3 linked regions of the Oryzias latipes genome follow. The protein of the gene in region 1 interacts with the protein of each later gene in a biochemical or structural test. Links are inferred from orthologs where the notes say so. Each region holds a gene or a part of one and is shown in the gene's direction. Other genes may lie near its edges. The genes, in order: Na(+)/H(+) exchange regulatory cofactor NHE-RF1, beta-2 adrenergic receptor and pdgfrb.

What was found.
Region 2: the proteins of Na(+)/H(+) exchange regulatory cofactor NHE-RF1 (region 1) and beta-2 adrenergic receptor form a complex in vitro, tested with the Homo sapiens proteins (3 studies listed by BioGRID and IntAct, with this or other methods). The link is inferred for Oryzias latipes from reciprocal best matches to the Homo sapiens genes NHERF1 and ADRB2.
Region 3: the proteins of Na(+)/H(+) exchange regulatory cofactor NHE-RF1 (region 1) and pdgfrb form a complex in vitro, tested with the Homo sapiens proteins (2 studies listed by BioGRID and IntAct, with this or other methods). The link is inferred for Oryzias latipes from reciprocal best matches to the Homo sapiens genes NHERF1 and PDGFRB.

The regions. Positions count from the first base shown.
Region 1 is NC_019877.2:24,306,327-24,316,766, reverse strand, and holds part of Na(+)/H(+) exchange regulatory cofactor NHE-RF1, read left to right. Parts: intron 1-2,437; coding exon 2,438-2,608; intron 2,609-5,124; coding exon 5,125-5,278; intron 5,279-5,356; coding exon 5,357-5,400; intron 5,401-10,440. UniProt on the Homo sapiens protein: Scaffold protein that connects plasma membrane proteins with members of the ezrin/moesin/radixin family and thereby helps to link them to the actin cytoskeleton and to regulate their surface expression. Necessary for recycling of internalized ADRB2.
Region 2 is NC_019868.2:20,751,339-20,761,878, forward strand, and holds beta-2 adrenergic receptor, read left to right. Parts: upstream 1-3,448; 5' UTR 3,449-3,621; intron 3,622-3,880; coding exon 3,881-5,128; 3' UTR 5,129-8,306; downstream 8,307-10,540. UniProt on the Homo sapiens protein: Beta-adrenergic receptors mediate the catecholamine-induced activation of adenylate cyclase through the action of G proteins. The beta-2-adrenergic receptor binds epinephrine with an approximately 30-fold greater affinity than it does norepinephrine.
Region 3 is NC_019868.2:16,264,770-16,275,209, forward strand, and holds part of pdgfrb (platelet-derived growth factor receptor beta), read left to right. Parts: intron 1-3,552; 5' UTR 3,553-3,557; coding exon 3,558-3,621; intron 3,622-4,420; coding exon 4,421-4,738; intron 4,739-4,835; coding exon 4,836-5,090; intron 5,091-5,193; coding exon 5,194-5,324; intron 5,325-5,723; coding exon 5,724-5,889; intron 5,890-6,987; coding exon 6,988-7,168; intron 7,169-7,790; coding exon 7,791-7,906; intron 7,907-8,277; coding exon 8,278-8,401; intron 8,402-8,558; coding exon 8,559-8,770; intron 8,771-9,136; coding exon 9,137-9,231; intron 9,232-9,327; coding exon 9,328-9,460; intron 9,461-10,440. UniProt on the Homo sapiens protein: Tyrosine-protein kinase that acts as a cell-surface receptor for homodimeric PDGFB and PDGFD and for heterodimers formed by PDGFA and PDGFB, and plays an essential role in the regulation of embryonic development, cell proliferation, survival, differentiation, chemotaxis and migration.

The DNA.
Region 1 (10,440 bases):
TGTATAATATAACATCAAAAAAGGACATCACAAATGACATTTATATTAAATCATTAAAAATTATTATTAAAATTATTGTGAAAATTATCATCAAAAATGAGATTCTCATTAAATAAATAAATAATAAATAAATACAGCTGCAAAAGTGTAAAAAAACATGTGGTCAACTGTAAAAAACATGTAAAAACTTTTCTTTCTTTTTTTTTCTAATACAGAAATGAGAAATGAAGTTCACACCAAAAACAAACAACTGTTCAGGAACAAAAAACTATTGAAAATTGAAAAACAACAACTACAACAAAAGAAAATCAATAAATGAGTGACTGAAAAAACACCCGCGGGACCGTAGTGTGTCACTGTAACACGGTGTTGTACAGTCTGATGGCTGCTGCTTTGTTCGCCGTTGGTATGGAGCCAGTACTCGCACCTTACTACCCTGGAGGTCAGATACCCCCTCCACACACACAGGCACCCCTCTCTCATCTCACACACACACCTACACACACTATCTCACTCTTTTCTTTTCCTCTCTCTGACACACACAACTACTCAGTGACGTGCAGTGAGGTTGATGCTGGTGAGGCACCGACTCCTCTGATGTCAGATTTATGATGATAAAAACTGAATATTTCAACATCCATCAGCATTTAACTAGTAATTTTTTGTATCTCAACATTCCTCTTTCAATGACCCTTACACCAACAAATACACAAACATCTGGACAGAGCATCCTTCTGGTGTCTGAGTCATTCAGATTCACAATCAACACATTAAATACATTACATTTCAATTATGTGCAGCATAAAGTAACTTTGACCTTCATTAGAATATCTTGCTTTTGTTTTTTTTATTTAAAATTGAATAACTGACTTTTTGCATCAAAAGCAAATAATTTATTAGATGTTAATACATTGCAATGACTCAGTTCATTCTTCAACATAGTAAGCAAACAAGTACTAAGTTACCATTAAACTGGCATTAAACTATTTTACCGCTTCCAGAAGCTCATAATGATAAACATCATGACGTCATTCTGTTCAGTAAAAGTCTTCCCGTTCTTCCAGAAACGTCCTGTGTTCATCTCTATACTCTGAATTTCACCATTTTGACCATGAGGGTAACGATCTGCACGCACATCAAATCTTTATCTATGTGTTCCGGCATTGGGCGTAACCCGCGCAAATGATTGGCGTTCACGTCTGTGTCAGGAGCAAAACACACACACTGCCAAATTACTTTGATAGTTATTTATTTTTAATACCCTCTGGTGGTTTCAGTGTGTTTTAAGAGGGAAAAACTATGAAATGAGGCAAATATGATGAGACGCAAAGAGCCGCACGCTCATTGGCCAAGAGCCGCATGCGGCTCGACAGCGGCGTGTTCGCCACCCCTGGACTAGAGTGTGACTGTGGAAGTACACCTGACGACAGCATCACCCGTACATCATACGTTTGTGCAATTGACATCCATCCAGTTTCCTCTGCTTATCCGGGTCACAGGGGCAGCAGTCTAAGCAAAGATGCCCAGACTTCCCTCACTCGCAATCGCAGTGACCTTTAGTGTCAGATTCAAAGAAAGTGTGTTTGAGGTTTAGACGCTTAGCTCCATTCAAATCATGTTGAGCAATAGCCTCAGATTCTTTTATGTAATTCTTTTGTAATCCAGCCGATCCACTTGAACGTTTTGCAGACTGGAGAATTTCCAGGATTGACTGACGCGGAAAGCTGCTGGAAATTCTCCAAACCAGCTTTTGCTTGTCGGGACATGAATTCCAAGAGCTGGAGTGTTTTCCCTGCAGGAGCTGTGTGGATCGAAATTCCCCTGTGATGTCTGACCAAGTGCTTCTGCTGTTTGCTGTTGGCTCATCCGTGCTCCAGTTCCTGACCGTTTACCTCGTCTCTGCTCCTGCTCCTACACCTGGCTGTGGTTCCTGTCTCCGGCTCGACTCGCGCCTTTGACTGTCCCGATAACCACATCTGGATGAAGCTCGTCTGCTGGACTTTTATATATGTAGTTGTAGATTTAGATAAGTTAATTCTTCTCTAAGATTTCTGGTAAATCGCCTGTCCGTCCTGGGGGAGGATCCCTCCTTCATGTGGACACCCCTGAGGGTTCTTCGTTTTTTCCGGAATCCAGTTTTTTTGGGAGTTTTTCCTTACAGAGAAGGGGGGTCTAAGGGCAGGGATGCCAGTATAGCTTAGTCAGTTTGTTAGTTCATTTTAGTATTTTCCTATTGAACTCTTTGTATTTGTGATCCTTTTAAGTTCATGTTTTACTTCGAAGCCCATCGAGACGACTGTTGTTGTGATTTTGGGCTATACAAATAAAATTGAATTGAATTGAATTTGCTTTCAGCAACACTTTGTCCGGTGAAAAGACGCGGCCGGTTAAAGACCGTCAGGTCTGACTGATCCCTGTCATGTGTGCCTGTGTGCAGGACGAGCCGGACGGACTGCGGCCCCGCCTCTGCCACATGAAGAAGGGCCAGAGCGGCTACGGCTTCAACCTGCACAGCGAGAAGTCCAGGCCGGGCCAGTTCATCCGGGCCGTGGATGACCACTCCCCCGCACAGCGAGCCGGCCTCCGGCCGCTGGATAAGATCATCCAGGTTAGCAGAGCGCCTCACAGGCTGCGGTCAGCCGTGCACACAAAGCGGTGCAGGGAGTTCAGATGTCCCGGGTTGAGTGGGAGCTGCTGCTCCTGACTGTGTTCCCACCTCCTCCCATGGAATTCCTCAGGATCTTATCTCCTCTGATGCTTGATTCGTTCTTGCTTGGTAATCCCTCCCAGATTGAGGGGCAGGAACGGACCTCTGCTGCGATGGGAAATGAATCGCTGAACTTCAGTTCTTCTGCAGTTTTTTTTCAGGAGCTTCTCGCCACATCAGAGCGTTCTGGTCAGTAGAGGATAAGTCGGTGTCCAGCCAAGGAATCGTCTCCTTTTCCTGTTACTCCATGCATTCATGTTGTCATAAACTGGACAATGTGGGCGAGTCTCCATCAAGTCTGTTCAATGCAAAGAATTTACAACTTTTGAGACTAAATCAGTAATTTTCTCACCAGCTCTTGATCAGAATAAAGGCATGGTTTTAAAAGCAGTGGGTGGGGGTGGGGGGTATTTTTTCAGGATTCTGAATTCAGAGCTTGCTTCTATTTTGTAAATGCCACGTAACTGCTCTAACTTGTGATGGTTCTACGTTGACCTGTGCGTCACATTTGAACGCTGAAGCAGATGGAACATCGTTCTCAAACTTTAAGAATTAATTCATGAGAAAATATTCATGAAAATGTTCCAGAAATGATGATCAGCATCATCTCCTTTTACAGCACGAATGATGGACGGCTGTTTTTGAAGCTGAGTTCATGTGAAAACGTGCCGTCGTTCTATACTTTATACTTTCTACAAAGCAGGTGGCGTCTCCATGACGGCTCGTCTTTCCTTTGGGTCGCTAATTCAGACGCATTAATCCAGAAACCCAGAACGCTGCGTTCAGGAGCCGTCGTGCATACCGGGTGTGTTCAAAGTCTGGTGTCCTGTGCAGATTTTTGGGGTTTTCTTTGAGCCTCGTGTATCCAGAGAGCAGAGACTTGACCACCTGCCAGGTTCAAACGCATGGACCTCAGGACAATAAACCCGTTCGTTCATGTCAGTCATCCATTGGTCAATTTGAATCTAGGGAAACCTCAAACCACCACTTTATCAAACTTTCTAAAACTCATCTATGGTCAATAATGAAAAGAGCAGCTTTGTGCTTGAAACTGTGAAGCTGAATCTACTGCACAGCTAAACAAGGAGGAAGCGTCCATGAAACCCTCTAAGTTCTGCAACACACTGATGGAAAAACGTCAAGATGTCTGATTTCTGAACGTCTGCTTCAGTTTTCAGTCTCAAGTTCATGTCCAGAGTCTCCAGGATAAAGTTGTTTTTCCTAAAACTGTCGTTATCTGACATGAGATGACAGTCCGGCACCTCTGACTATCGCTGTAGTTTGTGTGGACATCCTACAGGCGTCCGATGGGCACGTGCGTGTCACGTGCGTGTCACGTGCACACCCCGTGCGTGCAGCATTTGTGCACGCTCAGCAAGGAGCCAGTGCTGATGGCTGGAGCATCAGGGCTCCGTGCGACAGCCTCATCCGTCTGTCATAAGTGCGTGCAACTTACATTATCCTCACCATATATATTTACCACACGCACGACAATGGTACGTTCCATCTTCAGGTGGCCGTACGAGCCTCATGGGAACTGCAAGACACACCTGCGCTCCCTTCAAGATGTAGCGGCTCCTCTCTGTGACCCTGAACAGACCCGAACAACCCAAAAAGAGAACGGCAGCAGGCCTGCATGGGTGTGTGACTGAGGCCTAAAGCAGAGAGATGGAATTATTATTATTGTTGTTTTAGGAAACAAAGCCTGATTATTGCAAAAGTCTCCTCTCTGATTCCATCTGCATCCTATGAATTACTGATTGGGGTCGCGGCCTCAGGACCCCCCCCCCCCCCACGCCCTGGTTCAAAGTTCAGGTGAAGGAACAAGCCCGTGTCAGCCCGTGTGCACGTTTGTGCGGTGCTCTCATGACTCAGCTGTGTTAAAACATGTCACACGTTATCAGCACAGCAGCCTCCTCTTGCTGGAAAAATTACTGGATCATTTTCTGATAATGGTTCCTTTTTTAGGGTTTGTTCATTCATCTGCTCTTAATCATTTATGGTGAGCGGGTTAAACATTACGGGGAGCTGTCCCAGGCGTGACACCGTGGTGCTGTCGCAGCACTGCCGCTGTGATGAAGGTGGTAATCTGGTTCCACCGGAGTTTACAGGTTTACTACTGGATCTGTGGGGCTTAAGGGAAAACCTCTTTTATTGGGACTTGCTGCAGATCCTGAGTTGTTGGTTTGAACTTCCAAACAGGGTTCAAGTGAGGAGAATCCAAACCTGTGCAGCGGTTTAACTCCCACTTCTCCGCCTGCTGTGTTTCTGTGCAATGACTGAATGATTATATATTTTTTTTGGTTCAAACTCTTCTAAAATGGTAGAAAAGAATGATTTCTTTAGATAAAACAGCTTTTTCAGATTCCCCTAGTCCTCTTTTATTTGACAGAGTTTAACCGCTGCTCCGTCTGCAGGTGAACGGCGTGCCGGTGGCGGGGATGCAGCACTCCGAGGTGGTGGCCGCCATCAAAGCCGGAGGAGACGAGACCCGGCTGCTGGTGGTCGACGCGGAAACAGAAGAGTTCTTCAAGAAGTGCAACGTCACGCCCACCGAGGAGCACGTCACGGGTGAGCAGAAGATCTGAGAAAAGACCTCGGCGACGGGGAGACTCGACTCAAGCCGCCATGTTTCCTCTTCTCCTGCAGGAGCGCTTCCGGAAGCAGAGTCCAGGAGAGAATCAGAGGAGGAGGTGAATACACGCACGCACACACGCACACACAAATGCGCACTTGTGCCTAAAGCGCGTGAATGAACAAAAACGTGTGCAAACGCACACACACACCAACACACACACAGGCATAAAAACACTTGTGCAAAAATACGTTCATAAACAAATACGTGAAAAACTCATGTCCACATGCACAAACACACACAAGTACACACATGCACAAACACAGGCATGAACAAACGCCCTTAAATACATGCTCCTGCAAAAACATGCATGCACAAAGAGACGTGAACAGAGAAGCAGGATGCTGATTGTTTGAACTATAACTTTACTAAGCCAAACTAAACTGACGTTTAGCTGCTTTAAATCTGCTTTTTGACTTTGAATCTGTTGCTGCATTCATTAGCAGTTTTGCAGCTTTCAGAAAAGATGAGTTTGTCAAGCCCTGCAGAAGGGGGAGGGGCTTAGACGGGAGGCTGGAGTCATTAGGAAAAACTGATCTGATTGCAAAAATGAGACTTTAATACGACTTTTACCACCGTGTCATCTCAGTTTGTAGCAAACACAAAAGCATTGCATGCTTTGAGTGCTGCCCTCTAGTGCCAACAGAGCGCCAAAGCAAGTGCCTGTTTGCTGAACGCTTTAAGCTCTCTCGGGCTGTCTGGACATGAGACATGTTGGAAACGTGATGTCCACAGATGAATGTTCACCTCAGCTGCATTTTGAAGGCAGTTCTTGGATCTCCTCCTTTCACTGAAAGACGTCTCCTCCTGCACCAAATGTGAGCAATGCTCCTCTGAAGGGGAACCTGCACAAAGGCTGAGGGGCAAACAAGCAGCCAGTGAACTGTCAGCTGACCCCTCACCATAGAAACCCCCACACACACACACACACACACACACACACACACACACACACACACACACACACACACACACACACACACACACACACACACACACACACACACACACACACACACACACACACACTCTTTCAGAGCAGTGTGTCCTGGAGGATGATGCGATTGCTGCAGCTTTGATTCAGGGATTATGTTAATGAGCTGCTAATGAAGGCCGTTCTCATACTTTCACATGCAGGCGGGGTCACTGAACCACAGTGGCAGAGCGGCCCCCACTCCTGCGGGGGTTTCATGATTGTCTTTGTTTGACTGTCCCAGTGGACCTTCAGCGGAGCAGCTTGTCCATGAGGACAGCACAGGTCTGTGGGGGCCTCCGGGGTCAGACTAGAGTCCACGCTGCTTTGAGGGGGCTGATTAGAGCAGGATCTGCTGCCCCCTGCTGGACTTCACCAGCATTCCCAACGTTCTTAGTCAAATGGGGGCTCGGTCACCGCTGTGGGAACTTCAGGAAACTCCAGGGAGCTCCAGTTTTAGGGACTGCGATCCTTCCACCAATAAAACCTATTTAAGGTTGTTTTTGACCAAAACATCTTCTTCAGAGTTCTCCTAAAACTCCTTTAACCCTTGTGCTGTCTTGTAGGGTCAAGATGACCCCACTCCCAGCGTTAACATGCCTCCACATTAACATTGGGAGTTGGGTCATCTAGACCCACTAGACAGTGCTCTGAACCTTTTTTCTTCAATGATTTGTGAACCTCACTGGTGTCCATGGATTACATGAAATCTTTCCACCTTTATCCACCTTTGTCATGGTAGGGAGAACACCTCAATGGAAGGGGGGGGGTCATCTGGACCCCACAAGACGGGCCAAAAGTGCATATTTTAACCCTATATAACCATTCTTTTTGTATTTGCTCCACACACATTTTCCTTTACAATGATGATATTGTTTTTAAAAGTTTCTGGTCATTTAGATTCTACCATTTATATGATTGATAGATTTTCCTAATTGATTCAAAAGGAAATTCTATCGTTCTGCAGGTCAGAGCATCACCAACACAACTACACAAAATAAAAAGGACAACACTTTAACTCCTGCCTTTTTAATCTGTAGAAACATTTAATTTCAACTAAAAACATGTTTTCTTCAATACTATTTCAATACTTTATTCATGTATTTTATTGGAAAATAGTTCAAGGTCAGTCTAATCATATTCTTGATCATATTTGTAAAGTCAGACTCTCCAGTTTTTACTTCGCTCTGTCGTCAAAAAGCCACATGTGAGTCTCCCCCAGCTGCAGGAGCCTTTAGACCAGGGGGGGGGTCCAACTCATTTTCACTGGGGGCCACATCAGCATAGCGGCTGTCCTCAAAGGGCCAGATATAACTTATACATGTAACTAAATGTAATGCATCTACTCCATAATGTTAAATAACTCATTATTTATTTACTATAACTTTTTAAAGTGACAATTCCAGTTGCATAGAAACATGTTTGCTTGTTACTTTAGCATAAATCCTTTTACATTTTGTCCCCTTTTTAAAACCCACATAACTGCATAAATAAAGGTTTCAAACTGTCTAAGTGAATAAAGAATATTAACATAAAACTGAGCTAGAAAGAACAAGTATTACATTTAACAAAAAAAGGTGTCTGCAGACACACATAAGACCTGCAAACATTGAATAATCACAACAGCAGCTACACATAAATAATATGTAATCAACTAAAGAAAAAAATCATTTCAATAAATTAAAAACTTTTTTTGCTCTTGTTGGCCACATAAAATAACATGGCGGGCCACCTGTGGCCCCCGGGCCTTGAGTTTGACTCATGTGCTTTAGATCTTCATGCAGACGGGACTCTGACGGTCGTCACTGCGTTCCTCCTCTGTGCGTGACGCGACGCACCTCAGACAAACGGCTGCAGCTGGTTTTAGAGTCGCAGACGTGCGAGTGCGACACGCGCTGCACTCCAGACTGATGCAGAAAATTCCACGAGCTCATGCTCGGCACAGCTCGTCTAGCCGGTTTGGTGTCAGCGGAGCAGAAATCCTGTCAAGGACACACAGTTATTGGTCCTTCTCTGGTAATGACAGGAAACTCAGGCATACTCACCGAAATAATCCTAACCCTTCTGCTGTCTTGTGGGGTCTAGATGACCCCACTCCCAATGTTAACGTGCCTCCTAGGGAGTTGGGTCATCTAGACCCACTAGACAGTGCTCTGAACCTTTTCTCTTCAATGATTTGTGATCTTCACTGGTGTCCATGGATTACATGAAATCTTTCCACCTTTATCCACCTTTGTCATGGTAGGGAAAACACGTCACTGGAAGGGGGGGGGGGTCATCTGGACCCCACAAGACAGCACAAGAGTGCCTATTTTAACCCTATATAACCATTCTTTTTTATTTGCTCCACACATTTTTGAGTCCCGTGTCTCATTGGCACGGCCCAAACTTGTTTTTAGCCGTGCAGTTCATCATCGGTCCACCAGAGGCAGTAGAAGGTCTTTTCCTGCTCATTTCAAAATGTCTGCTTCCATGAAATTAAAAACAAAAACACTTGTTTTTAGCTAAAGTTTAGCTAATGTTTTGTTAGGTTGATTTATTGTTATTCTTTTTTAAACTGACTGCTTGCTGTTTTATAAGAATGAAATGGATTATTAGAGCCAACATAAGAGAAGATGGAAAAACAAAGCAAATGAAAATGAAGTTGTACAGTTTTAAGAAAAAAAATCAACAATTTACAATTGATACTAAAAATTAAATAAAACAAATAGTTACATTGAGCTTTTGTTTGAATAATTATTACAGGTTTCATTTAAGCTGCAGAGAATTCCAAAAAACTGGATGACATCACACCTCGCTGAATCTGTTTTTTTGTAAATGTACAACTTTCATTTTGGAAAAAGCAAAACTTTTTACTTTCAAAATTCTGACATTGACGATTTTATCCTCGAAAAATTTGGACTTCTTTAAAATATCAGTGGGACTTTATTTTCAGTTTTTGACAGCTTTTTGTGATTGCAAAATTGAATTCTTTATAATCCAGTTACAGCATGTTAAAAATGTCTTCACTAAATGTGAGACGGTGGGTAAATAAGCTGCTCTTTATCCAAACACGCGTGTCAATATTTTTGCAAACTTAAACTAACATTACTGTGGGTAGAATTATCCAACGTATCATAACATCTTTAATTGCACTTTTTTTTGGTGGGGTTTTTTAATTAACCCTTGTGCTATTTTAGATGACCCCCCCCTTCCATTGACGTGTTCTCCCTACCATGACAAAGGTGGATAAAGGTGGAAAGTAGAGCTGCGACGGTGTCGAATTTTTCATCACCGCGGTGATAAACCACCAGGGGGCGCGGTGTCGCGGTTAACCGCAGCCCCCATCCCCCCCCCCCCCCCCCCGCCAAAAAAAAAACCCCACACAACATCCCCCGGCGGCCGCATCGGAAATAAATACAATTACAACGTACTAGTCTTTATCAACAAACAACAGCAACAACTAACAACTACATATCTAACTGGTGAACTAACTATAGGAGTTGTAGATTGACTGTGTGTGTGAGCGCGGAGCGTCTTGTGTAGGTATAGGAGGAAGGTGCGCGCACGTGTGTTGGGGGTGTGTGTTGATTCTTCTGCAGCGGACCGCTCTGGAGCTGCACGGGGGTTTCACCTGTGCTCTCTGGTACAGACATCTTCTCAAAATATGCTATATTGCCCAGTAATTAGCAGACTGCAGACACTTTGTCACCTCTCCAGTAGCCGTGAAGCCTGACATCCATGAAGAACGCGGGGCAGGAGGCTCCGCCTTTGTTCATACAGACACGTAACGTTACGCTGCAAAAAATAGTTCCCAAACAAAACATGTAGTGATAATCATGGAAATCTAACAGTGCGCGTTCATGTTTGGTGTTACGGAGTGAAGGAGGACAGTAACCCCCCCCCCCAACACGAAATCCTCCGGTGGGCGGCCGCGTCGTGCACTTAAGAACGCACGCAGCTTGTAACGGAAATGAATATAATGGAAATTAATAATTAGAAAGCAGTAAATATGTTGTATTTCCTTGCGAGACGGAAACTTCTATTGTAGAATAAGGATGTGTGCTTCTGAAAGCGCGCGCCTGTTTGTGTAACTGTAACCGCAAAGGGAGCCGCGTGCCACGTGCAGCGCAGTCAGACAGTGAG
Region 2 (10,540 bases), on another chromosome or scaffold:
ACTACTTAAAAAAAAAATGCTGCTAGACTCGTTTCCTAACAGGAGACTCCCAAAAAAAAACGGTATGTTTGTCTGTTAACGTTTGAGTCTTGAATGAATGTAGTTGGTGCCTAGTGTTGGTGACTAAACTTTTAAACTTGTTAGTCTTTTTTTCATGCTTGTTACGTCCCTCTTCAGGAAGGAGGGAGAAAATAGGTACCATAAAGAAAAAAATAATAAACGTGCAAGGTTAAAGTTGGCCACACAGCCGTTTATTCGGGTGACACATCATAAAAACCAAAGAAACTAACAAACAAAACACCAAAGACGTAATAAGCGATGAAATGACTTAAACTTTTAGGCTGTAAAGCAAGTAAACGTTTACAGAAATGCAGTCTCCAAAACTCAAAATGCAATCAAAGACCACTAGGTTAAATTTGACAAAAGGACAAAGCCAGAATAAAACTAAGAGGGTAATCAGAGGCTTTCACTGGCTAAGGCCAAGCAGACAACAGGGGCAGGCTGAAGAAAAAAATCCTCTCATGATTTCAGCTGCCACTGGAGCAGGGGGTTATTGGGAGCTTTTAAAGCTTCCCTCCCAGCCAGGCGATTGGTGAAGAATGGCAGCCTCAATAAGCTCTGCAGGAGGGTGGAGTCAGCAGCTGTGCAGAAGCTGGCTGGACCCCTGCAGGAGATAAAACTCAAGCCCATGGACACATACACACTCAAAACATGCAGGCAAGACCAGGGGGCCTTACCATGCGTCATCTATGATCTTTTCAGATGCTTACTTCCTCCATAATCCTCCTCCCCATATGATCTAAACTCTTAGTTTAAAGCAAGACTGCAATTTTAGGAAATTAAAAAAGGTGCCTTTGCCAATAAAAGATTAATGTTGCTATAGTTAATCAATTAAAAATGTTTGCACAGCTAGCAAGAATTTTATATTTGTTAGATCTGAGGGCAACTACATTGAGGCAGCGTCTACTTTTGAGCAGCTATACTATTGCTGTATTAGTTTTAAATGGTTATCCTTTGTTCCAGTGGATGGAGAGTAGCTCTCACTTTACTTAGTCCATGTAAATAAGGCTGCTAACTATTGTCCAATTGGAAGAAAACCTGCTTAGTTATTTAGTCCTTTGAACATGTGGCCAACATGGAGAACAGCAAGTCAGCTCTCATCCCTCTGCTTTATGTTGCCCTAGCTGGTCTCTGCTCAAATCAGACTCCTCCCTCCTCAGTTTCCAAACAGGAATTACCCACTGGTTTCAAGAAGCCAGAATTCCAGACTTTTATTGCAAAATGAACAGATTTCATACAGTTATTATATATGACAAAATAATCATTTTTCTTTGAAAACTTTTTTTTTACACATTTTTGCAAATCCGTTTTTTTTTTCATGAAACCTTTTCTTTATTGCAAGTTGTACATGTTAAAAACTGTCCAATCAGATGCTTCAATTAATGTATGCAGTGCCTTCTGGCCCCCACATTGAACATTTAAAAATGTTTGACAGATTCTCCCAAAGTTTACTTTTGGACTTCCAGCAAGTTTAGTCCTGATTGATGAGAGTGGTTGCCATAGAAACAATGATTCAGACATACTTGGACCCATTGCTGCTTATTGACGTTGTCTCGTTTTGCAAAAAAATGGTGACTTCATTTGGTTGGAGCCGAAGTAAGCCATTTACTAGGAATGACGTCACACTGGCCCGGTGCAGTTTTCTTTTACAGTCAATGGTTATAACTCATTTCATGATGACATCAACAAAAAAACTGCAGGTTGCCCTTTTTTACCAAATCTTTAAAGAAAAGCAGTTTTGAAAATACCAAATGATCTACATTTTTTTTATTTTGTTGAAAGAGATGTGCAAATGTGGATTTGTTTTGCATCCTGAACATGGCCTGAATTTCAGCCTGACCCAATAAATAACAGTGCTCCTTTATTTCTTCTATATACTAACAAACAGGCAAGATGACCATGCCATAAGAATGGTCACTTTGCCAATGGTAATTTAGGTCACACATTTACGTCATCTCATTGTTCACCTTGTGACTGTAAAAAGATGAAACACCTTGATAAATGTCAAAGTGTATTCCCATGAAGGATTTCTTCTAAATGAGGGCTCAGACATATGGCATCTCTTATCTTTAATCTTGTCATGCCTTGAAAATCCACCACGAAACACCAGGTTTTGGTTTCTATGGTTGGTGTTAATGCAGGTATATAATCCAAAAAACGTCAAGCATCCTCTATTTAATCTCAGGAGTGGAACTGTCTTTGGATTTTTTCCAAACCACGTACGCTCTAATCTATCTAATGTGCGTAGAAGAAAATTATGCAATTCAAGATTTTGCGCAATTGAGCAAAAATCTTTGTGATCTTTAAGCAAAAAATCAGCGGTAAAAAACACATTACAACAGTCTCAAACATTTGCAAAAATCTTTGTTGTTTTCTTTTTCTGTAGTTTGTAAACCTTTTAAGACCTGTAACCTAAAAGGATAAATAAAATGTGCACGTTTATTGATACTTGCACATTTAATACACCTTCGAGAAAAAATACTTTAAAAAAAGGCTGAAGTACAAAAGTGTCACAAAAGATTAGGTTAAAGGGTTAGGATTGAGGGTATTGGATCATTTTATTACAGAATCATTTTTAAAAAGAGATATATTAACTTAAAAGAATTCAATAAGCATTGAAGACTTTCCGTGAAGTGTTTTTACGCATTCACAAACCAAGCAGAACTATCATTGCATTGTTGAAATTTGAATAAATGAGGTTTAGTTTGCATAGATCACATGTATGGAATAAATGTGGTCATAAAAGTGCAAATTTGTTCTTGATCCTCAAAGGCTTTCTTTTAGCTCTTGCTGTGAAGATCACTGCGCCTTTTACGTACCAAAACACTGAGGTCATTTTTACAGTTTGACCTTTGGATGTTAAAATGTAAGCATATGTTCTTGTATTGGCGAAGGTCCTGATTTTTATATAAAAGAGCAGCCTACAAAACTCAAAGGTTTTGTCAGGACAAGAAGTGTGTTAAAGCTCCAATCCAACCACTCAATAGATCTTGACAAAATTCACTGAGCTACACTTGCCAGTTGGATCACTTGTGAATCCAGCCTGATCTTACAAATGCTCAAAAAATGCTTTAACTAGTTTTAATTGGATACAGATTCACAAGCATGAAGCTGTAAACTCATACAGGAACATAGCATAACAGGAAGTAGACTTTATGACTCGAGCTGAAATACAGCTCGTAGATTTCAGTACAAATTTGCAGGTTTTTTAAATATGTAAATGTTTGCCTGTGTTGGCTGCCGTATGTCTCATGCAGCCCTGCAGCAGCAGCTGTTGGGACAGTGTGTTCAAACTCCTGTGAGCGCTCAGCACCCTCCACAGGCTAGTGCGCTGATTGGCTGAGCTCTGACTGTGATGTCACCATTGCATGCTATAAGGACTCTGAGACACATCAGAGGAAACACTGCTCAACGGAACGACTTGGTAGAGAGACAACTGGAGCTCAACCCGAACAAAAAGTACAGGGGCATGTGAGCCTTGCCAGTCTTACAGGAAGTATTTCAACACTGACATTCTGACATTTTTATGGGAGGCTGGGAGCAAAACAACGACCTGTCGAGGTTGGTATTTTTGCTCTTTCTTGACTCAACTTGTTTTTAAAGCATGGAGCCAAAAAGGTCGTTATGGCTGGTGCCTCTGCTGTGTTTTTTTTAATCTTTTGTTGCTTTGCTTGTTTTTTTGTTTCAGATACAAACATTCATGTTTTAAACTTTATTATTGCTGCATTTATTTAGTTCCCATAAGTTAGATACATGTTTGAATTGTGCACTTCCCCTCTTTTTACTGTGTCTGATGATTTTCTGCATGTGATTTCTTCAGATGGGAGTTACAGTCTCTCCAGTCTACTCGAATGTGAGCACTACGTCATTGTCCAACAACGAGACGGGCCACAACGAGATGGGCCTCAACGAGACAGGCCACAGTGAGACGGCTATGATCCTGATGGGCATCGGAATGTCTTTTCTGGTGCTGTGCATTGTCTTTGGAAACATCCTGGTCATAACAGCAATCGCTCGCTTTCAGCGTCTCCAAACTGTCACCAACTGCTTCGTCACATCTCTGGCGTGTGCAGACCTGGTCATGGGTCTCATTGTGGTTCCCTTTGGTGCTTTAAACATCATCTTCGTTAAATGGCACTTTGGTAAATTCTGGTGCGACTTCTGGACTGCCACAGATGTCCTCTGCGTGACTGCAAGCATCGGGACCCTTTGTGTCATCGCTATTGACCGTTACGTGGCCATTACTGCACCCTTCCGCTACCAGTCACTATTGACAAAGTGCAGAGCTCGAATTGTGGTCATCTTTATATGGGTGATTGCTGCTTTGACATCCTACCCGCCCATTCATATGAACGTGTGGAGATCCAATACATCGGAAGCTGAGAAATGTCTTAATAAAACAGACTGCTGCCAGTTTCACACAAACATACAATATGGAATCACCTCCTCCATCATCTCCTTCTACATCCCTTTGATCATCATGGTTTTTGTCTACAGCCGTGTTTTCCTGGCGGCCAAAAGGCAGCTAAAAAAGATTAACCAAAGCGTTGGACGCTTTCATGTAGATTCTTCGGAGGACAAGAATGGCCGTGGACAAAAGAAGGCAAAGTTTTACTTGCGTGAACACAAAGCCCTGAAAACTTTGGGTATCATAATGGGGACCTTTACTCTTTGCTGGCTACCATTCTTCATCCTTAATGTAATCGCGTCCATATGGAACGTGAACAACTATAGCGTATTTATGATTCTGAACTGGATAGGCTATTCAAACTCTATGTTCAACCCTGTCATTTACTGCCGGAGTCCTGAGTTCAGGTACGCTTTCAAGGAACTCCTGTGCATCAGGAGGAACCATCTGAGCCACCAAGGCCAAACAAATGGATACATCTACAGCAGGCACAGCTGGCAGAGTGAGCAGCAAGGGAGGAGCAAGTGCAACTCGGAGGACAGTGATGCCAATGAGGCTTGTCTGATAAAAGGTGCAGGGGTGGGCAGTGGTGTGGACAGAGCCATAGACCCCAATGGAAACTGCAACAAAGGTATAACGACTGTCACAACTGCCCTTTAAGCACGGACCACCGACCCTTCAGTCAACAGAGAAAGATGAAAGCCTATACACTTATGAACATTTAGGGCTTTTCTCTCAATCGCTGATTAAGGTAAGGCCAGTCAAAGTGGCTGGCAGTGTTTCAAAAGTGTTTCAGAGAACCTGCAACGATCACATCAAGCTGAGGAACATTTTTTTTAAGTTAAACATAGTGACTACATATTGTAATGTATTTTTTTTATTACATGATGACTACATCTACCTCCCTAACGGCTTTACAGTGTTAGTTTCTTTACCGGCTTACATTCTTACCTTTGGAGTTAAACGAGAGCGATGTCTCAGCTGTGTGTTGAGCCTAATAAATGGCGTGTGAATAGTACATTTGCAGATTATAAGGCTTCATCCAAAACCTTAGGGCATGCTTTATTTATTTTTTGCTCTTTCTTGAGGAGGGAAGCCACAGTTTTTTGTATGGTATAAAACTGTATTTGAGATTTTCCATGCGATTTTTCTTCCAATGCAAAGAATGGATTTTTGAACCAGTCTTGGTCTTTGCATCAAAAATTACATTCCGACAACACTTGAGGAATCTATTAAGTTGTAATCTTTTTTTCAGGGAGCTATATTGGCTACGCGTGAGGCAAAACACGTCTCAGTCCTGCTCTACTGTGCAAGACTGTGTTTAAAGGAGTTTATGTTGTCAGCAGAAAGCACAAGAGATATGGCTGGCTAATCTAGATCCTAATGCTGAGCCTAAGGAACGCCTGTAGCTGTTGGGTTAATGCCATCATAAAACATCAAAGCTTGTTTTATCAGATAACGAACCGTAAAATACCTATAATTTTTGGGAGGAACGCTAAGTGCAATAATATAAAACTTGGGCTGAAATGCTCACCGTTTTCATAAATTCAAACATTTCTTTTGGCTTGTTACATATACCTGAACTATGTCTATTTTCCACTTGTTGCAAATCTAAAACCACTTTTTTGTTACAAATAACAGTGAGAACGACGATTCTTTTTCTTCTGTGCGACAAATTTGAACCATAGTTGACCCATAGCTGCATGAGCCTTGTTTGTTTATCAGATTTTGCAGTTGCCATGTTTCAGTATGTGCACAGTTTACCGCAACCAGAGAAGCTGTTTCCTCATAGTGCAAGGGTACAGACAACACGTAATCATAAACAGGGTGTGAATGCAGCCAAATGACAAAGTTCTAGCACCAAGCCATAACGGTGAAGTCAGCAACCAGACAGAAAAAAGAAAAAATCCAAAGCTTGTATTCAGTACACTCATTGTTTTTATCTGGCTATCTCTTTTCTTGTGTGTGTAATCATTGTGCCATTTGGACAAGAGACACGGGAGCCTGCAAAAACGTGCCTCGGCTTCAGTCGTTTCAGTCAGTTTTGGTCAGTCTTATTTAAATGCCCCTTAATGTGCAGCCTGGAGAAAAGGCAGCTGAGCCCTGATCCAATAAACACAAACACATCTCCTGTTTAGCTGAAGAATCATCATAAAAGGGATCCAGAGGACCAACCTAAAATGATTTTCTTTCTTGTCATTCACTTTAAAACTTCAAGGAAGACTATCGTGGACAATAAGCACTTAGCACAAAGGGCACGATTGCAAGCCTATTAAGAGTAAAGGAAAGTGTTGATGTAGCTGCAGCACCTTTCCTTAGTGAGTTTGGCAGAAGTATGATCTTGTCAAAGGGACTGAACACTAAATGTAGCTCCTAAGACAGGAGGGGGACCAGGGACTCTGCCAGGCTAAATCTGTGTTAGTGACTTGTATTTTTGTGCATGTAGCATCGCCTCTGACCGGGGTTAGATTTGCTGACACTTTCAAAGCTGTGAACTTTGTTCCTCCAGAGGAAACCTCTTATGTACTGTATCGCACGGTTTGGTGAGCGCTGTTATCACAGACCTTAGGAGTCGACGTAAACACAGTGTCATCATACGTCAATGTTTGCCATGTGAAAAACAAGCTTTCCAGTGTGCTGATCTTTTTCTGTTTTTCTTCTTTGCGGATTTACAGCAAAGTAAATGTACAAGGTTGAATGTCATAGGAAATGTTTCTTTTAGACTTTTATTTTAACATTTCCACTGTACAGCATGCCAAAAGCACAAATCTGATATTAGACCAAGTTTGTACATATCTCCTTCAAAAAACAAAACAAAAAAAGGCACTAATTTACCAACACACCAGTCTTTTTGTTTGAAATAAAAAAATGTAAATTTTGCAAGCACTCTGCAAGTGTTTGCACGTCTGCTTTTAACGTCTGGTGTTGTGTTGGTGGACCTGCATGCTCCTCTCTGTCAAAGTGATCTGGCTGTGAACTGCACATCCACACTGCTCCCTCCTGGCAGTAGACTCTCTTTGCACCTCAGTCGCCACACGTTCGTACAAAGGTTTCATCAATAGCCCTGTAAATTGTAGAATGTAAGCCTTCACATTCTCCAGCGCTTAAGAAAACCTACGTGCGTTTTGAATATCGAGCTGACGCACTTTGCCATTCCAAGCACAGCTGATGTTTTATGTCAGACTTTCAGTGCACATTCAGTTCTCTCTCCAATGTCTTGTTCCAGAGCACATGCTGCTCTGTGCACTCTGAAACAATAGGTACTCTCCAAGGAGAATTATGGGTTACAGTAAAAGCGAGTCTTAGAGGTTATTTTATAGTTTTGTGTCTGTATCAAATTGGGTGACGTATTAAACGTTAATATGATCTTAATGAACCTAAACTTGCACTGTATAGCACTTTCAGGAGATTTAGAAAATCTGAAAAACATTTTGAGTTCACAAAATTAAAAAAAAATGGTTTGTTTAATTAACCTTCTGGTCTAAAACATACAAATGAGTAAAAAAAAAAAGAACATACTTAATTCATTTCAGGGCAGGATGTTGCTCAAAGCTTCAATATAAATCTTTTCAATGTTTCTATAAAGTTCAAAATTTCATCATTAGACATTAAAGAGCAAACTTGTCACATGTTACCTTTCATTTTTATGGTGGGAGTGAAACACTCCCCGAAATGTTTACTAAATGTTTGCAAGCTATTTTCGCACAAGTTGTTGTCACTGTTAAAGTCTTGAAGCCTGTTGTGAAATGTGGTGCCCTGTGGTATTTATTAATAAAACAAGTGTATGCGTGGTATGTTACATTTTTATTGAAATAAATTATGTACATGTTGTGTGTAATGGTCCCTTTGATGTGTCTTTAATGGCTGCCCTTATAGCGTGTGGTACAGTACAGTCATCTCCCCAGAGTAGTCCTTTTAAAAGGAAGATGGAGAGAAGTTCAAATTCTTTAAATATGAGAAAACCATCTGTATGTGATTTAAATGATACAAGGGGAAGATAAAACTAATGTTTCCATTCGTCCTTTTTTTTAACTACACCTCTGTATTAATTAATAATGTCATACTTCTGTCAAATAGTTCCCCTTTTTCTGTCAAAAAGAGAACTTTCTGACAAAAAAACAAAGAATACAATACAATAGAGGTGTGGAATAAAATACTCTGCAAATCTAGGTCTCTGAGAAAAAAGTAAAAGATTCTTACCCCATTAGCAGAGTTTTTATAAATAAGCATAAATATTTGCCAATAGGGTGATAAAAAGTGTCTTACCAAAAGTTCTCATTTTAATAAAAAAATATAGTCACTAAGACATATGTTGTAGGAGGAAATGTTCAAAAACAAATTTAAAAAAATTCTTGCAAGACATAAAGACAGTTTTTCAGGCTTTTTACTTTCCTCAGATTCAGTTTTTGGCTGTGTACAACTCTGATTCACCTTAAAGTAAAGATTAAAAAGACTTGTAAGCTGTGGAATTTAAGAAAAAGACTTGTGGTCTAATGTTAAGGAATAAAAAGAACATAAACTTACACATAGTAGTCAGACTACTACTACAATTTCGACGGTTGAATATTAATATATTGAGACTGCACTTTTGAGATGTTATTTCAAAAGTGCTGTGAATAAATCCAAGAAACATGAAACATTTTGTCTTTTTAAGGCAAGTCTTTGTGTTCTCTTAAAAACACCCAAAAATGCCTTCAGACTAGGACATTTCAGGTAGCTCTCTGTATGATAGACTGAGTTTAAGTGCGAATGTGTCAGACCACAAAGCCAAATCAAACTTAAGCATTAAATTTAGAGGCTCCGCTGACATCGGAAAGTCATATCTCGTTTTTTTAGATTTTCTTTTTCAGTAGAGGAAAAGGAAGAACTAAGAAAGCATTTGCGAGTTCCCTTGCATGAAAGTGATATCCTGGTGACATTCAGTCATTTCTGTTAACACATAAAGTATTATTGGAGTTATTCATTTTTGAGATTTGATAAAGCCTCTTTTGAAAGAAAAATCCGGTTAAATTCATGTTGAAACTCTTTTTTTTTAAAAACATTTTGACAAACTTAACACTGTTAAACCACACATTTAGAATCATTGTTGGCTTGAACAAAATCAGTCAGTAACTCAGTAGCTGTAACTGTGATGTGGTCCACCCACAATTTTAGTTCAAGCCTATATTTAATGTTTTAAGATGTAATCAACAATATCTAATCTGTTTTAAATCCTTTAAGAACAGTAATCAACTATAAACTTGTTTATCTACTTTAGTTAGCAATTCTCTTAGCATTAATTTTGTTTTTGTTTTTTTAATAAAACTCAAATGTTTTTGTTTTAAATCAACTGCTCGAAACACTGAAGATGATTTGCGTTGGTTTGTTCAATCATCAGTACAAAAAGTGTTTTTAAGACTACAGTAAAATAATCTAAAATCAGTAAGGTCTCAGGAAATGATTTGAAGGCATGACGGCCCAACTGCTTCACAAAATAGGGGTAAAATTGGTGTCGTGGTAACAACAGTACATCCTTAGTCTTTAAGTGCTGCATGGATGGAGGTTCATTCAAGGCTTTGAAGATGCTTATTTAGATTTTAAACTTTGAAAGATGAATGAAGCGATGCCAGGAGGCAAGCGTAAAGGTCACAAGTTTGGGATTTTGCAGTTTTAGTAATAGGTTTAGATGCAGCAATTTGACCTCAGATGTTTGGCGGCTGTTGGTGGAAGATAAGGTACTTTACTGGCTCAATACAACCATTTATTCTGCAGTGTTTTCCTTTCCTCCATTTCAATATCCCATTTTGGCTTTATAAGGGTAGAGAATTGAATTCCTCCACTGCCTGTTTAAAACCAGAGACAGATCCCTTATAACTATCAGCATATGATGGCTTTTAACAATTTTGATTCTTTTCTTTTGGCAAGAAGAATATACTTTGTGTGTTGTTGTTTTTTTGTCTTGTCCAAGCTGGGATTGTAGACAAAGAAATGTCAAAAATAAAATCAACTTTGTGAATGTAGGATGCTCGCATTCTTATTCTCTTTATCACTCCCCCACTGTCATATTAATGTTTACAGATATTAGATTTTTAT
Region 3 (10,440 bases), on another chromosome or scaffold:
CGAAGTTTACATCGTTTCTGTGCAGCTTGTTATCTGGAGATGTTTTTGTCCGTCTTTGTAAGAGTTTCTATGCAGTTTTTCTTTTTTTCTTTTTGCATAAAGGTTTGGTTAGTGGTTGTCTTGGTCCGTTGTGTCAGGGATGCATCACACTCACACAGGGCCAGAAAATTCCCCCATGCAGGAAGTGAATCCTCTCCAGCTGCACTTGGAGACTTTTCTCTTTCTATAATAGATTTCTTTTCTCCTCCCACTCCTTCTCTCTTTTCTCTTTGCCCCGGTACACTCAAGAAAACAATTAGTTTGAAATGTGACTCATAAATCAGTTCCCACTTTATCGAGTTCTGCTTTATCACTGCCAGATGTTGGTAAAACAGACAGACTATATGCAGATAATCCCAGGAGTGGGATTACACACTCGAGCTGCATCCTGAGGCAGAGTGTGGGCCGCGTGCACCCCGCCGAGGTCGACTTTAGCATTCTTCCTCATTAGCGGGTGACACTTTGAGCGTAGCAGGGATGTTTACGGAGAGCGGGAAGGGTCAGTCAGCCACCAGATTCCCAGCATCTACGGGAAACCTCATGCGGAGTGATAACAGTTTATCCGGCAGTGCGATTACTGTGCCATCACTGACATAAACGCTGTTTGTTTCTCTCAGACCTCTGAGATTACAGGGGCAATGCAGGTCCCTGTTTCAGAGACAGAAAAGAAAACAATAAACATCTTGGTTGGAGAAATGCTTTTGAGATTTGTTAAGGCTCTTTGCAATTGTGAGGTGAGTCACTTCATTTATACAAACTGTGGGATGGGTTTTTACAGTAAATCTGACAGGGGTCCCAAATCATTTTTACTAGTTAACCAAATATTTTAGTCTTTTTTTATTGAAAAGGGCTATTTTAGATAGTTGTTTCAGTGGTTTTTTTTTGTAAAGGTTTCTATTTGGTTTAGAAACTTATACAATTTTGTTCTGTGCCCAAAGATCCACTCCAAAGAAAATAGAGTTTTTGGAGTTTTAAACATATTCTTGTAGCATTTTCTTCATGATGGAGGACATAAATAAAGAAAATGAATCTCAAATTTCCATTTCTGCTTATTTCTTTATTCAAATTCTTGTGAATTAGGTGCAGACTTTTGTCTTTTGGAAAAAGCTAGCAGCGGTGACGTAGAAGCTACTTGTAGAAAACCAAATCCATGCATATCTTAATTTTCCACGTCTGAGCTGGTATCTGGCTAAAATCTTTACAGCTGGATAGTTCCAATATTGCTCCCCATTTTTGTAGCACCAGTAATGTTAGATTTGGGTTGTCAGGGGTTGTAAGATAAGGGGAGAGCTTGAAAACAGATGGATGACGGGAAATGGGGTGGGCGTACAACTTCAGAGGTGAATTGCTGATGAACTCCTGCTGCTCCACAGAAGCTATGTCCTAGTAAACAACACAGATTTTTTTTCAATTTTGGCCGAAAATGACATAATCAAAATTAAAATACCACTGGGGACACTTTTAGAATAGATCAAACAATGACTGGAGTTTGACTTTAAAAACATGCACAATTTTAGTGCAAGATTGCCCTTTTAGAAGAAATCTATTCATAGTCCCTTACTCCTCCTTGGTCAACATGAACCCTTATCATATTTCAGTAACAAAATATTTTTCCCCCCATCCATGATATGCTTTTTTTTTACTGTTTGAGGCTGTCTAATCTTAGATACACATCCTGCAGTAGCCCTTACCGCCGCACTTTGGCCTGTTTTCAGAGCAGCCAGTAAAAACATGATTTGTCGGCTTTCAAGCTGAAAGACGACACATGCTTTGGTGTCACTTCGTCTGATGCTCCAAGTCTTCATCGCTGACTCTTACCGGATTCAGCTGTGTGCTGATGTATGTCTTCCTGAGTCGACGGGCCCTTGTCGTTTGCTGCTCAGGCCCCCAGGGATGGAGTAACCCCACCGCTTCTGCCTCCGTCACCAGCAGTTTCCCAAGTGTATCCGTGGTCCTGGGAAAGTTTCAGAGGAAAACTGTGGGAACGTGAACTGTACACAGTCACCAGTGACAGAAAGGGGGGAAAGGAGGTCGTTCTGTTTCTTTTTGTGTGTTTGAAGAAGCGAGGGCTGTAAATGTAACATGTGTCTCTACACACTTTGCATTTAAGTGCACGTGTGTGTGAGTTAACTTTTCCTGCTTACTTTCTTGTTCTCCATCTATCTGTGTCTTCACCTCTTTATTGAAACCAGGAGTCAAAAAAGGAAATGAGCCAGTCATGTTTTTGGAGCAGCTTGAGAGCTTTGAGCTTTCGTTGTGGGAGCGGAAGTACCAAAGGCTGCTAAGTTAGTGTAACAACATAAAGATTTGGGTTCATTAGAAAAATTTCCAAACTCATCTTATCAGATCTGCAAGCAGATATTTATAACAGATGGAGAAAGTTTGAAGAGATTTATTGTCACAGAAAGGGGGAAACAAAACTTCAGAACATGTTTACAAAACGCCTCAAAATAGCGAAATGTCCCAAAATAGAGGCAGTTAAACTGACATACAATCTCCCCCCAAAAAATTCTAGGTGAAATTTCTCAACACGTTTCACAATTTTTCCACTACTCACTCCCTCTCTTCCTCCTCCACCCTCGCGCTTCCCAAGACATGCTCTTCCGCCCTCTTTTTATTTCCCACCCTCTTGCGTTCAGGCCTGTGATCCATCCTTAACTGTTTCCAGACGTCTGTGCGCTGAAGGCCTTAACCCCATCTAAAACATAACAACAACCCCACCACCACCACTCCCCTTGTTTGCCTTTTTTTTTTTTGGCTTTTCCAGCAAATCTGCAGCATAAAGGTTTGAAGTATTGATGAGACAATGGGGATTTTTGCTCAACTTTAACCTCTATTGATGCCAAACTCTGTTGCGGCTTTGACGTCAGAGAAAAAGTTATCCTAAAGGTATTAAAAAGAAACAATTCAGAGTTGCAAAAGCACTCTTGCTGGCAGAGGATTAGGTGAATGTCCCGATTTTCACTTTTGTTTACCACGAAACCAATTAATGGCTCAGCAAGACTCTAGAATAGCTTGGACGCAGCATTGTTAGCAGTGAGCGCACTGCAAAGCTGCACACAGTGACCCGTTTGTTTGTGGGCAGAGTGTTGGCGAACCAGAAACAAAAAGAGACAGACATTGTTGCTCTGTGCTGGTGCAGTGAAGCGTCAAACACCTTCACAGTGAACTGCACCTCTGATTCTGTCTGCCAGCCAAGAGCCATGAAAAGAACAGCTTCAGTTCTGATTTTATGGTGGTATTTCCATCAGCAGAGTGTCATTTTCTTTCACGCCTTTTGATTACAAACATGTTGCTTTGGTTTTAACATACGTGCAATACAAAATCTGACAAGGTTTTTTTTTTAAATAATAAAATATTAATTATTGTAAAGCAGCTGGGTTGGGTCCCAGTGACCCCGGATGGGATTCAGAAAATAGATGGATGGAATTTATAAAGTATGTTTCAGATTTTGCAATTGGTGTTTGTTGGGTAAATTAAAAAGGAAACACTGGGTTTTGTCCTTTTTTACAGGACACATGGGTTCAAAGGCGTTCACTATGAGGCGGCTGACCACACGCCAGCTGACAGTTATATTTACAGGTGAGATAAACATTAACATCGACTCTTTTTGTGTGGCGTTTGTGAGGCAATCTTTAATTCATGTGTATGTTCACATGTCACAAAACAGGTAGATGGCTGAGCTAATAAACCTGCTGTCAATTGCAGCAGCTTTATTAGCTCAGCTAAAAGTCCACAAAGCTAAATCAGGGTCAGATATGGAAACAACCCTCAGTGATGAAGACAACAATACTTCGCACTGAATGAGGCTCAGTACAGTGCTTAAGAATACTGTGAGTGATTTGCAAAAGAAAAAGTCAGCTGTGTGGCATCCAGAAACTGTGTAGTGGTGTTGCTGGGAGATGAAGTACATTAGAACCCTGGAGACGGTTCCCGCCGGTGACCAGAGGGGGAGACAGAGCTCTGACCTCTGACACATGTATAACCTATTTGTATTATAATCTGGACCATACAATTGCTCACAATTTATGTTTTCATTAAATGTGCAAACCTTCAACTAAAAGGTTTGTAGAACTAAAAAATTTGAATTAACATTTTATTTAGAGTAGAAGAAATAATTTAAACCCTTCTGAAACAAAATCATATTTTTTTTGTTAACTTGAAGATTGGGCACTTCTTTGAAGTAAGGACCAACTTCAAACTGACCTATGTCATTCTGAACACATCCATCAGCAACACTGCATCCTTATCCTCCCACTCATCTGCTGCAGACAACTCGTGCTCTAAGATGGAAGAAGATTCGACTCACATTGTTGATTTAACCTCTGACCTCCTGCTGTCATCTCCTTGACCTCTTCATCTTTTGTTGTGCAAACTGCAGCCTGGCTGTATTTCTGCTCTGGAGCGCGCTGTCTGGAGGTCACACCTGATGAAAAAGAGATCGTCCTGGCTAAAGGCTCTGAGCTAACGCTCACGTGCTCCGGCTTAATGGAGACAACCTGGGAGTATAAGAAGGACGACGTACCCTACTTTCAGGTTGAGAAAGATCAAGAAAGTCATCAAAGCTATCAGAGTGTAAATAGCGGCGTGTTCTCCAGTGTTCTCACCCTGCTAAAAGTGAGCTGGCAGCACACTGGGGTGTATCAGTGCATTAATCGGCACACTAAGGAAACCAAGGAGGTGGCTGTGTTTGTTGCAGGTGGGGCTTGGCTTGTTTAACTTTGAATGAACTGATTTTGAGTCACTATTAACATGTTGTAGGACATTTAATAAACATGCTTGTGTTTATGCTTCAGACCCTGAGGTGTGGTTTGTGAGGAGTGACCACGGCATGGTACCCAAAAGTGAGGAAACCATCATCCCATGCATGGTCACCAACCCAAACATCAGCGTCACGCTGCATGAGAAAAGCTCTCACTCGCCCATCAACGGGCTGTATGTTCCCACTGAGGGGTTCAAAGCACCCCTGGAGGCAAGGACATATTTCTGTCGTGGCAAGCTGAACGGCAAGGTGAAAGACTCTCAAGACTTCCATGTCTTCAGCATTTTTGGTAAGTGTAAAGGTCACCTGAGCTCCTACACAGACATGGAATCTAAGTAGTTCATTATTTTTAAGGCTTATCATAGCTGAATAACTGAATGCACTTTCCTCAGTCCAAGAGACCTTTGAAACCTATGTCAACGCTTCAAAGACGGTCCTGAAGCAGGGAGAGCCTCTGACTGTAAACTGCACCGTGCACGGGGTTGAACTGGTGAATTTTTCCTGGGATACTCCCAGCGGTGAGGTGAGTAGGAGTGGTGCAGAACAAGCATGTTTTGTTCAGCTTCTCCCCTGGTGATTCTTCATGGCTGAGCCAGAATTATATCAAGATGTGGAGACGCGCCCCAGATTCAATTGTCTTGTGAAACTGAGCTCACAGCTCAGTTCCAGTTTGACTTTTTGAGACATTTTTAGCGCCATCCACATCTGTTTGTGATTGTGTTCATTAGAGAGGTACAAGTGTCTTCTAAATTTTGCAGATTGATCCTGCTATTATCATGCTTCAGGCTAGGTGAAAAGTAGAAGTTACCTGCCTTCTGTTAGATTTTTGGGGTACTCCTAAATGAAGATATGACTCCATAAAGATTTGCCATCTAATAAGGCCAATTCTCTGCGCAAACATGGATTTTTTTTTCTCTTTTAGCTCGAGGAAGTTGATCCCCTGACTGAATTTCTGTCATCCATAACCATGCGCTCCTACCTGATGTTCCCTGGCACCACGGTGGCGCACAGTGGAACCTATGTATGCCATGCTCACGAACTCGTTCAAGACCAGGAGGCCAGCGCCAGCATCGACATCACAGTCTTTGGTTAGGACACACACACTACTAAAACAAACCAATGATGTGCACATTATTATGGTGGCTGAGAGGAGACAGTTTATTATATCAGCCATAGCAGGTTGAGGTGGGAGAACAGCTATTTAAAGGAACTTAAAGTCAGGTTCTTTATTTTCGTAGAAAGTGTGGGATAAACCTTCGACACGGTGATACTTTGAAAAACAGAGCTTTAACTCAGCAGCTATATATTTATTTCCCCCCCAAGTGAAAGAGTGTTTGTGTAAAAGAGATTCAACTTCAAACACAATCGCACAGCAAGTCAGCGATTTTAAAAACAGCCCGTTTGGAGCCAATAAAAGCAGAATTGCTTGTGCTTGAGCTTTTCTCTTCCATGGTCTGGCTCTTGACCCTCACTGGGACCATGAATGCTTACTCTGTCTGCAGTTAGGTGTGTCATGTTTAGGAAACCTTTAACCCAACCTGGCAGGTTCAATATCAACAGCAGAAGAGAATCGTTTTTAGTGGGGAAGCTGTCTGGACAAAAAGTGCCACAAAAATACTTTTCAAACAATAAAAATTGTCCAGGATGAAAACTTTTTGTTTGACTTGCAAGTTTTGGTTTGACAAATGAAAGCAAATAGAAATGTATGGCAAATTGATGTGTGAAGGTCCCCTAAATTTGCCAAGCTGTTGAATTATTTCCAAATATGACATCTTAGAGGTTTGTGAAAAAAACACAACCGTGTCTGATAAAAGAAGAACCTAAGATGTTAGTTATCGATACAGACGTTATGAACTTTATTGAACTATTTCAAAACATGTTGTAGTTTCTCTGTCTGTTTATGAAGTTTCAAAAATATACGCCTTCAGAAACATTAGACCAAACTCAAATATTTGTCTGGTTAAAACAACTGGGCCTAAATGTTTTGCTAGTTCCTTTAATATGCATAATTCGGTCAGACAAAAGAATTTAAATGAATATATTTTTGTTACTTCAGGTCGAGTAGAGTGGATTCATTGTCTCCTAAGAAGCCAAAGAAAGTCTCATGCATACTCTTATTGTGAGTTTTAACGTGTGATTGCACTAAATATGCTGTGTTGCTGATGAGATTTTTTTTCTCTTACCAGAAAAAGGTTTTGTGGATGTGAAGCCAGCTCAGTCAAAAAACATTTCCACCAAAGTACAGGAGAATGTCGAACTGCGAGTGGAAATCACTGCCTACCCGCCTCCTCAGATTCTGTGGGCCAAAGATGGCGCCACCATCAAAGGAGACAAAAGCATCACCATTAGACAAGTGAATGAGATCAGGTAGATCGTCCAGCTTGAATGATCAGCTGTTTCAAAAATTCACCACAAATCCACAGACCAACACTTTGAGTTGTTTCTGTTTAAGCAATTAGCACAGGACCTGTGAGTCTTTCAGTCAGTAGATGCGTGCAGCTTATGTCAGTCAGCACCATGCAAAGCCTCCACAGAGAGAAACACAATTCCCTCCATAGGGCCGGACTCCATCTTTCAACGCACATGAACCATAAACACAAAACGCCTGTCACAACTCTCAAAGGACTTCTAGACAAATGCCAAACAAGAAAAGACTTTTAAAATAAAGGTTAAAAAACTAATGATCTAACTGAAACATCAAACACAGGCCTCAGTAGACAGATTCAAAACAGCAAGTAAATGGCCCAACATCATAGTGAACCTTATTGGATTTTGTCAGAGTAACAGATCTGGCATTCTTTTCAATTATTAACCACATATTTACACCATCAGAACTTCATTTGACTTTTTTAAAGTTAAAAAGACAAGATTTTCAACACAAGATTAAGAAAAAGAGAATTCATGTTATTAAGATGTTTGTTGCTCAATTACATGTAATCAGAAGGAGGTAAAAATAATTAAGATTCTGTTTCATTCTCTTGTGCATCAGGTACGTCACCATTCTCACGTTGGTGAGGGTGAGGATGGAGCAGAAAGGACTCTACACTGTCCTCATTAGAAATGGGGATGACTCAAAGGAAGTGGCCTTTGACCTGGAAGTACATGGTAGGTAGACTTGTCCAAAAACCATCTGTCTTGTTTTTTTTTTTTTTAGTAATTTTTTCAGTTGTGAAATATTAGATTAAAACATAAAAACTAAAGTCCAGTTGTAACAATTTTGTCTGATTTGGGCTGATTCAAACATGTTAGGACTATAACAAGCAAAGATAACTCAAGATATTTTCTTTTCCCTTTTTTTATATATTGTAATTTGGCCCCTTTAGGCCGCCATTGATAATTGTCACTTTACAAATGAACTGATTTAAAGTTGGCAAAAACAATTTGTATAAATGTATTTCCTGGGTCTAGTCTACTTCACTATCCTTTATTGACTACTGCAATGCTTATCTAATTCTACTTTTCTTGGTGTGTCTTAGTTCCCTCTCAGATTAAAGATCTGTCTGATCACCACCTGCCAGCGAACAGACACTTGGTGACCTGCACCGCAGAGGGGGTCCCAACTCCGACCATACAGTGGTACAGCTGTGACAGCATGCTGAAGTGAGTGCCACCCCTCCTTCCTGAGATGCTGCAGTGTCAACACTAGAGGGCTGACTAAACACACACATTTATTCAACATTCAGAGCATCAGCTTTAGCTTTGCTCTCCTCTGCTGCAGATGTTGTGATTTGAGTGCTGATCCAGTGTTCTGCTGCAGGTGTAGTAACCAAACATCAGCATGGCAGCCGCTGGTCCCACATTCAGAGGAGCTGAGCATCCAGACCAATGTGAGCTACAGCCAGGCACGAAAACTGAGTCGAGTGCGCAGCCAAGTGACCTTCCTCAAGCCCCAGCAGGTCACAGTTCGCTGTGAGACCACCAACCAAGCCGGACTCACCGACCGGAGAGACATCAAACTGGTGTCTAGCAGTAGGTGTTCTGACAACCACTCAGAATGGTGTATTTTTCATTACAGTGAGACCTCAACGCAATTTTGATAGTCTGTTATTGTTAAAATGTTGTCCATAAAATGTTATTCTGTAGTTGTCTTTACAAAAAAAAAGCTAAATAATTTATTGCGTCATTTGATGTTAAATAGAAGACATGCTAATATTAAGTTATTGTTTGTAGAATTTGGTACAAACTACCGTGTACTATCACAAACATTTATTTACTACTATTTTCTTTAACTCAGTAAAGTAGTATTAAAACAAATGTTTAGCCTCATGTCTGCAGAGTTTGAATCATATTGGTTTATTGTTTTCTCCTAAAATGCCATGTCCATGTCCTTTGCAGCACTCTTCTCCCAGGTGACTGTATTAGCTGCTGTTTTGGCATTAGTGGTCATCATTATTATGTCCATCATCATCCTCATTGCTGTATGGAGGAAGGTAAGAAAACACCTTTGTGGAAATAAAAGTGAATTTAAAGACAATACTAGAAAAAACATTGAACTTGATGATATTCTTTTCCTTGATGTTCCTCAGAAACCTCGCTATGAAATCAGATGGAAAGTCATTGAATCTGTGAGTCAGGATGGCCACGAGTACATCTATGTGGATCCCATCCACCTGCCCTATGACCTGGCCTGGGAAATGCGCAGAGACAACCTGGTTCTGGGTAAGTCAGAATAAGACAGGTGTGGATATTGGGAGGAAGTTGGATTTATGACAAAATGTAGGTTTCTTTAGTCTTTGTCAAAACCTTTTATCTACTAGTTAAATTATTTTTTTATCCAGCCTGAGTGCAGTTATTCAGTATAAACAATGAAAGAGTCCATTTAAGAGGTCTTCTACATCAGAAACAGCTCCACTCTTGTTGTTGTACAAAATACAGGTTCAGGTCAACCTGAATGTACATGAAAAAAAATGAACAGACAGGAAGTCTTTAAAGTCCCACTCTGTTTAAAATCTGTTTTTGATGTTTTAACACGTTCTTGTGGCTTTTTTTCTCATGATGGCGGTCACAAATAAAGAAAATTAAGCTTAAAATTACATTTCTGAGGTATTTCTGTAGTTAAATCATGAAGCCGGAGCAGACGCAAATACGCAGTTGGTAAAAAAGCTTATTTGTGATGTTGAAAATACACTTGGCGGGCCACAAGCTCCCTGCTTCGCCATGTTGAGGGGAAGGGGGGTTGGGGTTGCTTTGTGCCAACAGTCCTGTCTACAACTTCGAAGGAACTGTTGTGCTCTGCAGAAAATGACACAGATGTGTAGAAAATGACACAGATTTTTTTATTTTGGTCAAAAACAACATAATCATAATGAAAAGACCACTGGGAACGCTTTTACAAAAGATCAAAAGTTAATAAAAATGGGTCTTTAATGGCAAACTACAGAATATTCACCTTCAAAATAAAATTCCATGTTCACTTCAAGCTAACCTCAAAAGTTAGCTGTAAGGTCAGTGCATCATCAGACTACGCTTCTCAAAAGATGAACTACAAGTGGAGTAAAAAGAATTGGTTAAAGCTTCATTCTACAGCTGTGTGCCCAGGCCTTTGCTTGTTGTTCCTCAGAGGTGAACAAACAGAATCAGTCACAATTAAAGTGTTGTTTTCTGGGTCGTTTTGGTGCCATTGGTGACAACAACAAAAA